2 linked regions of the Caenorhabditis elegans genome follow. The protein of the gene in region 1 interacts with the protein of each later gene in a pairwise test. Each region holds a gene or a part of one and is shown on either strand. Other genes may lie near its edges. The genes, in order: gad-1 and memi-3.

Evidence for each region.
Region 2: the proteins of gad-1 (region 1) and memi-3 interact in a two-hybrid assay, tested with the Caenorhabditis elegans proteins (2 studies listed by BioGRID).

Annotation. Positions count from the first base shown.
Region 1 is NC_003283.11:6,430,714-6,435,443, reverse strand, and holds gad-1 (Gastrulation defective protein 1), read left to right. Parts: upstream 1-1,947; 5' UTR 1,948-1,956; coding exon 1,957-2,149; intron 2,150-2,196; coding exon 2,197-2,942; intron 2,943-2,990; coding exon 2,991-3,169; intron 3,170-3,213; coding exon 3,214-3,533; intron 3,534-3,580; coding exon 3,581-4,005; 3' UTR 4,006-4,124; downstream 4,125-4,730. Other genes in the region: erfa-1 (Eukaryotic peptide chain release factor subunit 1), read right to left, coding at 23-756, 803-1,128, 1,175-1,284.
Region 2 is NC_003282.8:11,401,328-11,405,081, forward strand, and holds memi-3 (MEiosis-to-MItosis transition associated), read right to left. Parts: upstream 2,012-3,754; 5' UTR 2,011-2,011; coding exon 1,531-2,010; intron 1,484-1,530; coding exon 1,298-1,483; intron 1,249-1,297; coding exon 1,057-1,248; intron 1,007-1,056; coding exon 830-1,006; 3' UTR 618-829; downstream 1-617. Other genes in the region: his-65 (Histone H2A), read left to right, coding at 1-148; cyp-31A2 (CYtochrome P450 family), read left to right, coding at 2,645-2,737, 2,784-3,184, 3,228-3,324, 3,371-3,465, 3,514-3,754.

The sequences.
Region 1 (4,730 bases):
TTTCGATAAAGCGAGCGCCCACCTTGTAGTTATTAGCAAACCATTCCAAAAGTGGCATAGTCTCAATAATTTCCATATCTTGTCCAGTTTCACTGTCGGTGAAATGAGATTTGTCCTTCTCCTCGTCAGGTCTCAGATTCAGAAGAATGTCCTCTCCGAGTGAATTTTTCATCTTGTACCGAACAATATCCAAATTCTCCCAGCAGATGAGAGTTTCAATAGCTCCCATTTCAAGTGCGGCAAGAGTGTCTTTAACTCCGAAAACGTATTTTCCAGTGTCTTGGCTGATTTCATCGAAATATCCACCAATCAGTTTCTTTTCCTGAATGAACTTAACACTTGCCAGCGTATCGGCAGCAAGTTCAATAGCTTGGTTGAAACCATTTTCACCACCATAAGCAATATCGACAGTCTTGATCATCTTGGCTTGAAGTCTTTGATCAAACATATCAGATTGTCCCAACTCTGTCTTGAAATCTGCACTACCAGCAAGAATAAGTCCAGCAACTGTAACCTTGTCGTTCTTGATAAATTGTTCCACCGAATTTTCAGCTACTTTACGGACGTAATTGTGCCGCTTCTCATTACGGAGACGAGCAAAACGGACAGCAGATTGACCTCCTCTACCGTGCTTCTTTGGAAGATCGACAGTGAACTTGTGCAGAACTTCACGAGTGTTTCCTTGGAGTGTTCCGAACAGACAACCGTTTCCATCCATAATGATAAATCCGAACTTGTTATCGTCAGCAAGAAGACCTGAAAAATGGTATATTTTATGATGCATGATGAAAATTAGAAATACCTTGAAGAGCTTCGGTGTGAAATTTGTTGTCGCAGAGATACAATGAAGTATTGATTGCTTTGAATGGCTCAAAATCAATGTTAACTTTCTTTTCCTTTCCTTCGTCGGTCATGATTGTTCCACAGTAAACGACCAATCCATTTGGTGGGACTTTGTTGTAGAGTTTCAATCTTCCCTGTACTGATGTGATAGCTCCCAAAACGGAAAGTCTGTTGACACGAGACTTGATGTTAGATGCCGTTCCGTACTCTTCGGCCAACATTCTCTGGATTCTAGCCACTTGATCTTTTGGTGGAATGATCAGCGAAATCATAGAAGTTCCATTTCTGTAAAAAAACAAATGTAAAATAAACGCTTCACGAAAATAGTTACCCTCTGGCTAATTCCAAACTTTTGATGAGCCGTTTAATTTTCCACATTTCGACATTTCTATCGGCGGCGTCATCGCCTCCGGCGGTAGCACCTGCTGCGGGAGCGCTCATATTCTATTTGTGCTGCACGTCACCGATTACCTGTAATTGTATTATATAAAACACGAAAAGAGAGTTAAAGTAATTAATTCGGGGAAGAAACTCAAAAATGCGAAAAAAAAGATATTTATAGAGAACTGGTTATTCTACATTGCACAGAGTTGTGATGGAAAATTAGAATATTGTGCAACATGTTGCAATGGTTTCAATTTGATTTTTTTAGAAGAAAATGTATTTCGTTTTCTCTGAGCAATGACAAAATGATGAATAAAACATTTCTGAACAATTTAAACTGCAAAAATCGATAATTGATGACGCGTAAAAACTTTAAAAACTGAAAATGGGAAAAGAATTTAAATGGTGCCAAGGAACACGAATACGGTTTGTGGAAGGGTCTCGGCGCGAAGTAATGTCCGATTGTCCACACTTTCTCCGCGGCCTAGTCTCCGAAACAAGTCAGCCACGTCCTCAATGTTCGAAATTCGAAAACATTTTTCAGCTTTCATCAGAACTCCAGGACTGTTTCCAGAATTTATTAGTTTTTTTCGCCAAAATATTATATATGTACCACGGCAGTTCATTATATTGGTTGTATTACACGTTTCTTTTCGTTATTAACTCTTTTTTTCCCGTTACCGCCTAATAGATGAAAACGAATTTCAATAATTCTTTCAGATCACCACAATGGATGATAATACGGCTCCAAAAAAGAATTCTGAAAAGAAGGCACGCGTCTTTGACCTCCAAGCAATGTTCGCGCAAACGATAAGCAATGCTCCCAGAACTGAGGAACCAACTCACGTTCCGCAGTCGGTATCGGTGTCTTCTAAATCAGAATCTGGTGTTTCTTCTTCAGCTGTATCTGATGATGAAGATGGTAAGCCGAATATAATGTTTTAATTATTTCAAATTTGTTTTTTCCAGATTTCATGCCAGATCTACCTCCAGGATTCCAAATGCAACAGTCTGAAGCGGGCCCCTCCTCGTCTCGAGCTGAAGGTCCCGAAGATAGTGATGATAGCGATTTTGACGAGACAGAAGCAATCTCCATCATCAAACTGATTCCAGCTGCATGTGAAGCGAAGATCAGCCATGGCACTCAAGCCATCAGTGCACTTCGGGTTGAGCCTCCTGGTGTTCGGTTTGCCAGTGGAGGGCTTGACTATTACGTGAAGCTGTTCGATTTTCAAAAAATGGACATGTCAATGAGATACGACAAAGAGCTTCTGCCTGCAGAAAGTCACGTTATCAATTCCCTGGCATTCTCTCCGAACGGCGAAACTCTTGTAGTAGCTAGTGGAGAAGCTATCATTCGCCTACTGGATCGAGCAGGAAAACAATGGTCTGAAACAGTTCGTGGAGATCAGTATATTATTGATTTAAACATCACTAAAGGACACACAGCAACAGTTAACTGTGTCGAATTCAATCCACTAAACAAGAACGAGTTTATCTCTTGTTCTGATGATGGAAGTCTACGACTATGGAACCTCGATGATCATAAAGTAATCACCAAATGCATCAACAAGCACAGGAAAGTCATCAAAACAAAAGGAGCTAATGGAAAACGTGTCAGCCCGCAAGTTTGCACGTTTTCTCCTGACGGAAAATGGATTGCCGCCGGTTGTGATGACGGATCTGTTCAAGCATGGAAGTATGGATCGCAATATGTAAGTTGAAGTTCAAAAACACTGTTTATTCTCATATTTTAATTTTAGGTCAATGTAAATTACCTTGTACGCAAAGCTCACAACGGCTCGATTACTTCTATTGCTTTTTCGCCCGATTCAAAGAGATTACTGTCTAGAGGTTTTGATGACACTCTGAAGATGTGGAGCTTAGATAACCCAAAAGAGCCGCTTCTTGTGAAAACCGGTCTCGAAAACGCTTTCAAAAGGTATCCTTCTATTAAAAACTTCACCATAAGTATATTTTTTGTAGTACTGATTGCGGATTCTCCCCTCGTGCCGAGGTTGTCTTCACTGGTACATCGTCACCCAACAAGGATACACCTGGAACATTACAATTCTTTGATCCAATGACATTTGATCTTGTCTATAAAATTGATTACCCTGGAATTTCGTGCCACCGAATTCAGTGGCACCCGCGATTGAATCAAATTATCGCTGGACTCTCGGATGGCACCATTCACGTGTACTACGATCAAACGATGTCACAGCGAGGAGTTATGTCATGTGTGACGAAGCCACTCAAAAGAAATCGCGCATCTGAAGTTGTTCGAGAAGATATGGTTCTTTCTCGTAAGTTAAACAATTTTTTTCGAAAAATATTTATCTTCATATTTCAGCTCTTTCCCTCGAAATGTTCCAACCGCGCGGAGAGGAAGGAGAAGAAAAGGAAGTCACTGGATGGAGAATCAAGAAGTATCTCCGAATGCAGGATAACAAGCTTCGTCCCGAGTTCCGGAAGCCTGCAGATATGCCTATCAACGGAAAGAGCGCAAATGGACGTGTGGCTGCAAGTGGTGGAAGTCTTCATTCGTATTTGGCAAAGCAAATCGGAACTGCTCGTAATGCCGAGTTCCTAAAAGATACCGATGTTCGTGCAAGCATCCTGAAACATGCTAAAGACGCCGAAGAGAATCCATTGTACATTGATAAAGCGTATCGAAAGACACAGCCAAAGAAGATTTTCCAAGAAACTGCAGTCGAGCCAGAAGATCAAGATGACGAAGAGCTACAGCCTGTCTTCAAAATGCCGAGAACGAAGTAGTCGTTGCATTAATTTTTTGTTTTTCATCTGTCTGTCTCCCTCTTGTAATATTGTTTTCCTATTTTTTTCTCTATTTTTTGTGTCCCAATAAATATAGAGTCAATGATCACATGATGTTGGAGAAATTGTGTGTTCGCCATAGTCATTGTCTTGTCCAAATATCTAACGCTAGCTACACTCTAGCATGCTGCTCACTTCTATCTTTCCCATTCTTCCAACTCCCCCCCATTTCAACAATATGTGGTCGTTTGTGTCAGTGTCCGGTGGACGATGGCTACACTTTTGCCGCAAGAATTGTATCCAATCGGGATCAGGTTCACTTTTAAAATTGAACCCGGTTCGGATGTTTCGCTTTTGATCTCCTAATCCAAAAACCTGAAACTGTATTTTTAAAAACGTTTCTATTATGGATTTAATTCCAAAAATTGAGAAAACTATATTTAAAGAAGAAATTATTGACATGGCCTCCATTCCATTTCTTTCTTATCATACATTTTCCCACAACTGATACCATGTGCAGCCTATTCAAAGGGTCACTTTTTGCTGAAGTGTGTAGAACAAACATGCAATCCGAAATTACAGTTCCACAACTGTTTACTCTACAATTTCCTTTTCACATTTTCTTCCTGTTTCAGTGCCGAGAAATTGTAGCTAGTAGCAAACAAAACAACGCCGTGAAATTTCGTCCTTGAAGTTTCCCTTTCCCTCCCGAGAAACATCCAAGT
Region 2 (3,754 bases), on another chromosome or scaffold:
TATCGCCCCAAGACATCTTCAACTCGCTGTCCGCAACGACGAGGAGCTCAACAAGCTTTTGGCCGGAGTGACCATCGCCCAAGGAGGAGTTCTTCCAAACATCCAAGCCGTTCTTCTCCCAAAGAAGACTGGAGGAGATAAGGAGTAAGAACTTTCTTCTTTAAACAAACCCACCGAACCCAACGGCCCTCTTTAGGGCCACAAATATAAAAAATCCTAAAGATATTTCATATTACATTTATTTTGAATAATATGTTTGCTTGAATTCAATCAGTATTACTGTCAATAAGTTTTCACATGTTTTCGAGCCAAGATATCGGTCAGGAAACGACATTTAGAAATTGCAGAATTATGATCACTATGTAATGTGGCCAATTGCCTATCAAGCCTCAAGTATCGAAAAGTTGCATGTCGCAAGCTGGAATTGCCAGCGTTTTCAGAAATTTGCGTTCATTAATTCTAATTTCGAATTCATCTTTTTAGGCTGGAGGCATCTTCCATATCGTAAATCATTGTACCCGGCTGTATAAAAATTTTGATATCTGAAACCAGAAAATTATCAGCTTATCAGAAGAATTTAATTTGAAAAATTTTTCAGAGTCATGTTAAAAAGATTTTTTAAATCAACCAGTTCATGATTTGGTAAAGTTAATTCAAGCAATATACATGTTGAACATAAACAAAATATTCGAGGGTCATGGTGAGTTGGAGGAATGGAAAATAAAATAGGGGAAAGTTAGTTGATATATTTAACAGGAACCACTTAGTTATTCAGATAGATATATACAAAAACTTATGCACATTATAACTAATTATTGGACAAATGAATTCACTCTTCATCCAGTTCGAATGTTTCGAGGAACGAGATTAGGTCGTCGACAAGCACCATTCCATTTCTCAACGAGACCATATCGTTTTCGACCTCGAATTCATGAAATTCGACTGGCTCTTCGACAATCTGCACTCGTCGGTTCATGCACTTCACCGTTTGCTCCAATTCGATGTACTGAAAACGTTATAAATTGGAAACCGATAAATTATTGCTATTCAACTCACTCTATATCTCCGGAAAGGATCCCTGGCGCTCGAGTTGTTATTGTACACGATCCTCGTTTCCACGTGGCGCTTTCCTCGAATCGAACACGTGATTGATGCAGTCGAGGCCATCAGTCGGCCTTGTGAATCGAGTCCTGGCTCGAGATTTCCGTATTCCCGGCAGTTTGTTGTTCGCAGGCGACGAGTGGTAGTCTGAAATATGAAAAGTTATCGGTGTGAAATAGAAAACTATTTTACGTACACTCTTGCTCTGTGATCGGATCAATGTTGCCACCACAAAGCTGTCTGTCATCTGGAAGCCTTCGATTTCCATCTCCAGTTTTTCGAGAATTGCAAACAATTGCTGGAACGGCATTGCAGTCTTTGCCTGGATCGCAAATCGAACCACATTTTGACCCGTCTCTTTCGGCTCGGCCAGGAGGGAAGTCTGAAATAAAAAAATTTTTTTGGGAAAAATATACTCAAGAAACTAACTAGAATCAGACTGGAGATATCTTCGGCCGAAAGCATGCGGCACTGAGCGGCGAAATAGTGTGGTCGCTGGTTCGGATGAAGGAGCACGTGCTCGACAAGCGCTTTCTCCGATTCTCTGGTCGTGTTGAACCATCTTTGCGAGAAGAAGTCGTAGCGCTTGAGACGGAGATTTTCAATCGGCATTGTTTGAATGTCTCTTAGCACTTTGACAGCTTCATCGCGGATGATTGCCTTGCTCGGCTTCTTGTCGACGAGCTTTGGAGTTTCATCGATACGATGCAGGGAACGGTAGTTCTTATCCTCGACGAGCTCCACGTCTTCTCCATGCCCTTCGATAATTGCATCATGATTGATGTTGGGTTGTGGTGGGAGGGCTGAGCAACCGGCTCGAGCGGTTTCCAATTGATATTCATCGGTGTAGTTGGCCACGTATTTGGTCGCCGTCAATTCGCGAAGAACGGTACGGGACGGAGCTGACATTCTAAAAAACGTTGGTTTGAAAAATTAATGGAAAAATAAGAATTCGAAGCAAAAATTAAAGATAAAACTTTAAAAAAAACAATGTACTCAAGTGATTAACAGATTAATAATGCTTCACCGATAAAACAATATTTATGAAATTTCATTACGGCTCTCTGAACATCAGCAAAGTAGAAGAATGTTCACAATCAAAAATTTTCGTTGGGCCTAAAATAACACAATTGTTGCGCTGACTTTTCGCGGGGGAGATCGAATAGGTCAAATAGGCGATGCATTCATAAAAAGTACAATACTTATTGAAAAATAATTTTGGATTTGTTTTCTTTTTTTTTTGTTGAAAAATTAACGCGATTGAAAGTTTTTAATCATTAAATCAAGATTTAAATATCATGATATATCAGAAAACAACAAAAATCAGTTTTAGAATTTTTTTGAGCCTACCGTACTCTTTAAAGGCGCATGGCGATTTTCAGATGGGTCTCACTACGACATGCGTGAAATTTGAATGTTGATTCAAAAACTGTTCGTTTTTTTTCTTTTTTTAGAACCAAAGCTTAACAAACGCTTTTTCTCATGTTTTAAACGCGTTTTGCTCGTTTCTTCGCACAAATAAATTATTTCAGAAGGTTTTGCAATGGGGGTCATCATCCCCGCTGTACTTCTCGCTATGGCGACTGTGATCGCTTGGCTTCTCTACAAACATTTGAGAATGCGTCAAGTTTTGAAGGTCAGATTGCAAAATGCATTCAAAGATAACTCAAATAAATTTCCAGCACCTCAATCAGCCACGATCATATCCAATCGTTGGTCACGGACTCATCACCAAGCCCGATCCAGAGGGATTCATGAACCAAGTGATTGGAATGGGATATTTGTATCCAGATCCACGGATGTGTCTTCTCTGGATTGGCCCATTTCCATGTCTGATGCTCTACTCTGCCGATCTTGTTGAACCAATTTTCTCATCGACGAAACATCTGAACAAAGGGTTCGCATACGTTTTGCTCGAGCCATGGCTTGGAATCAGTATTTTGACGAGCCAAAAGGAACAATGGCGTCCAAAACGAAAACTATTGACACCAACATTCCATTATGATATTCTCAAGGATTTTTTGCCGATTTTTAACGAGCAATCAAAGATTTTGGTTCAGAAATTGTGTTGCCTCGGAGCAGAGTAAGAATTTTAATTGATAACTCGTTCAAATGTTTCTTTTCAGTGAAGAAGTTGATGTTCTCTCCGTTATAACCCTTTGCACTCTTGACATCATTTGCGAAACCTCTATGGGGAAAGCTATTGGTGCTCAACTCGCGGAGGTTGGGTAAACAACTCGAATCTCAAAATTTCTAAATACTTTTTCAGAATAACGAGTATGTATGGGCGGTGCACACAATCAATAAACTGATTTCAAAAAGAACAAATAATCCGTTGATGTGGAATTCATTTATTTATAATTTGTACGGTAGTTTTATCATTAATAAGGTGAATTAATTTGTAATTTTCAGAACAGAGGACGGACGGACTCATGAAAAATGTCTTCGTATTCTCCATGATTTCACAAAGAAAGTGATTGTCGAGAGAAAGGAAGCTCTACAGGAGAATGATTATAAGATGGAAGGTCGTCTCGCATTTTTGGATCTTCTTCTCGAAATGGTGAAAAGTGGACAAATGGACGAAACAGATGTTCAAGCAGAAGTTGACACATTTATGTTTGAGGGTCACGATACAACATCTACAGGATTAATG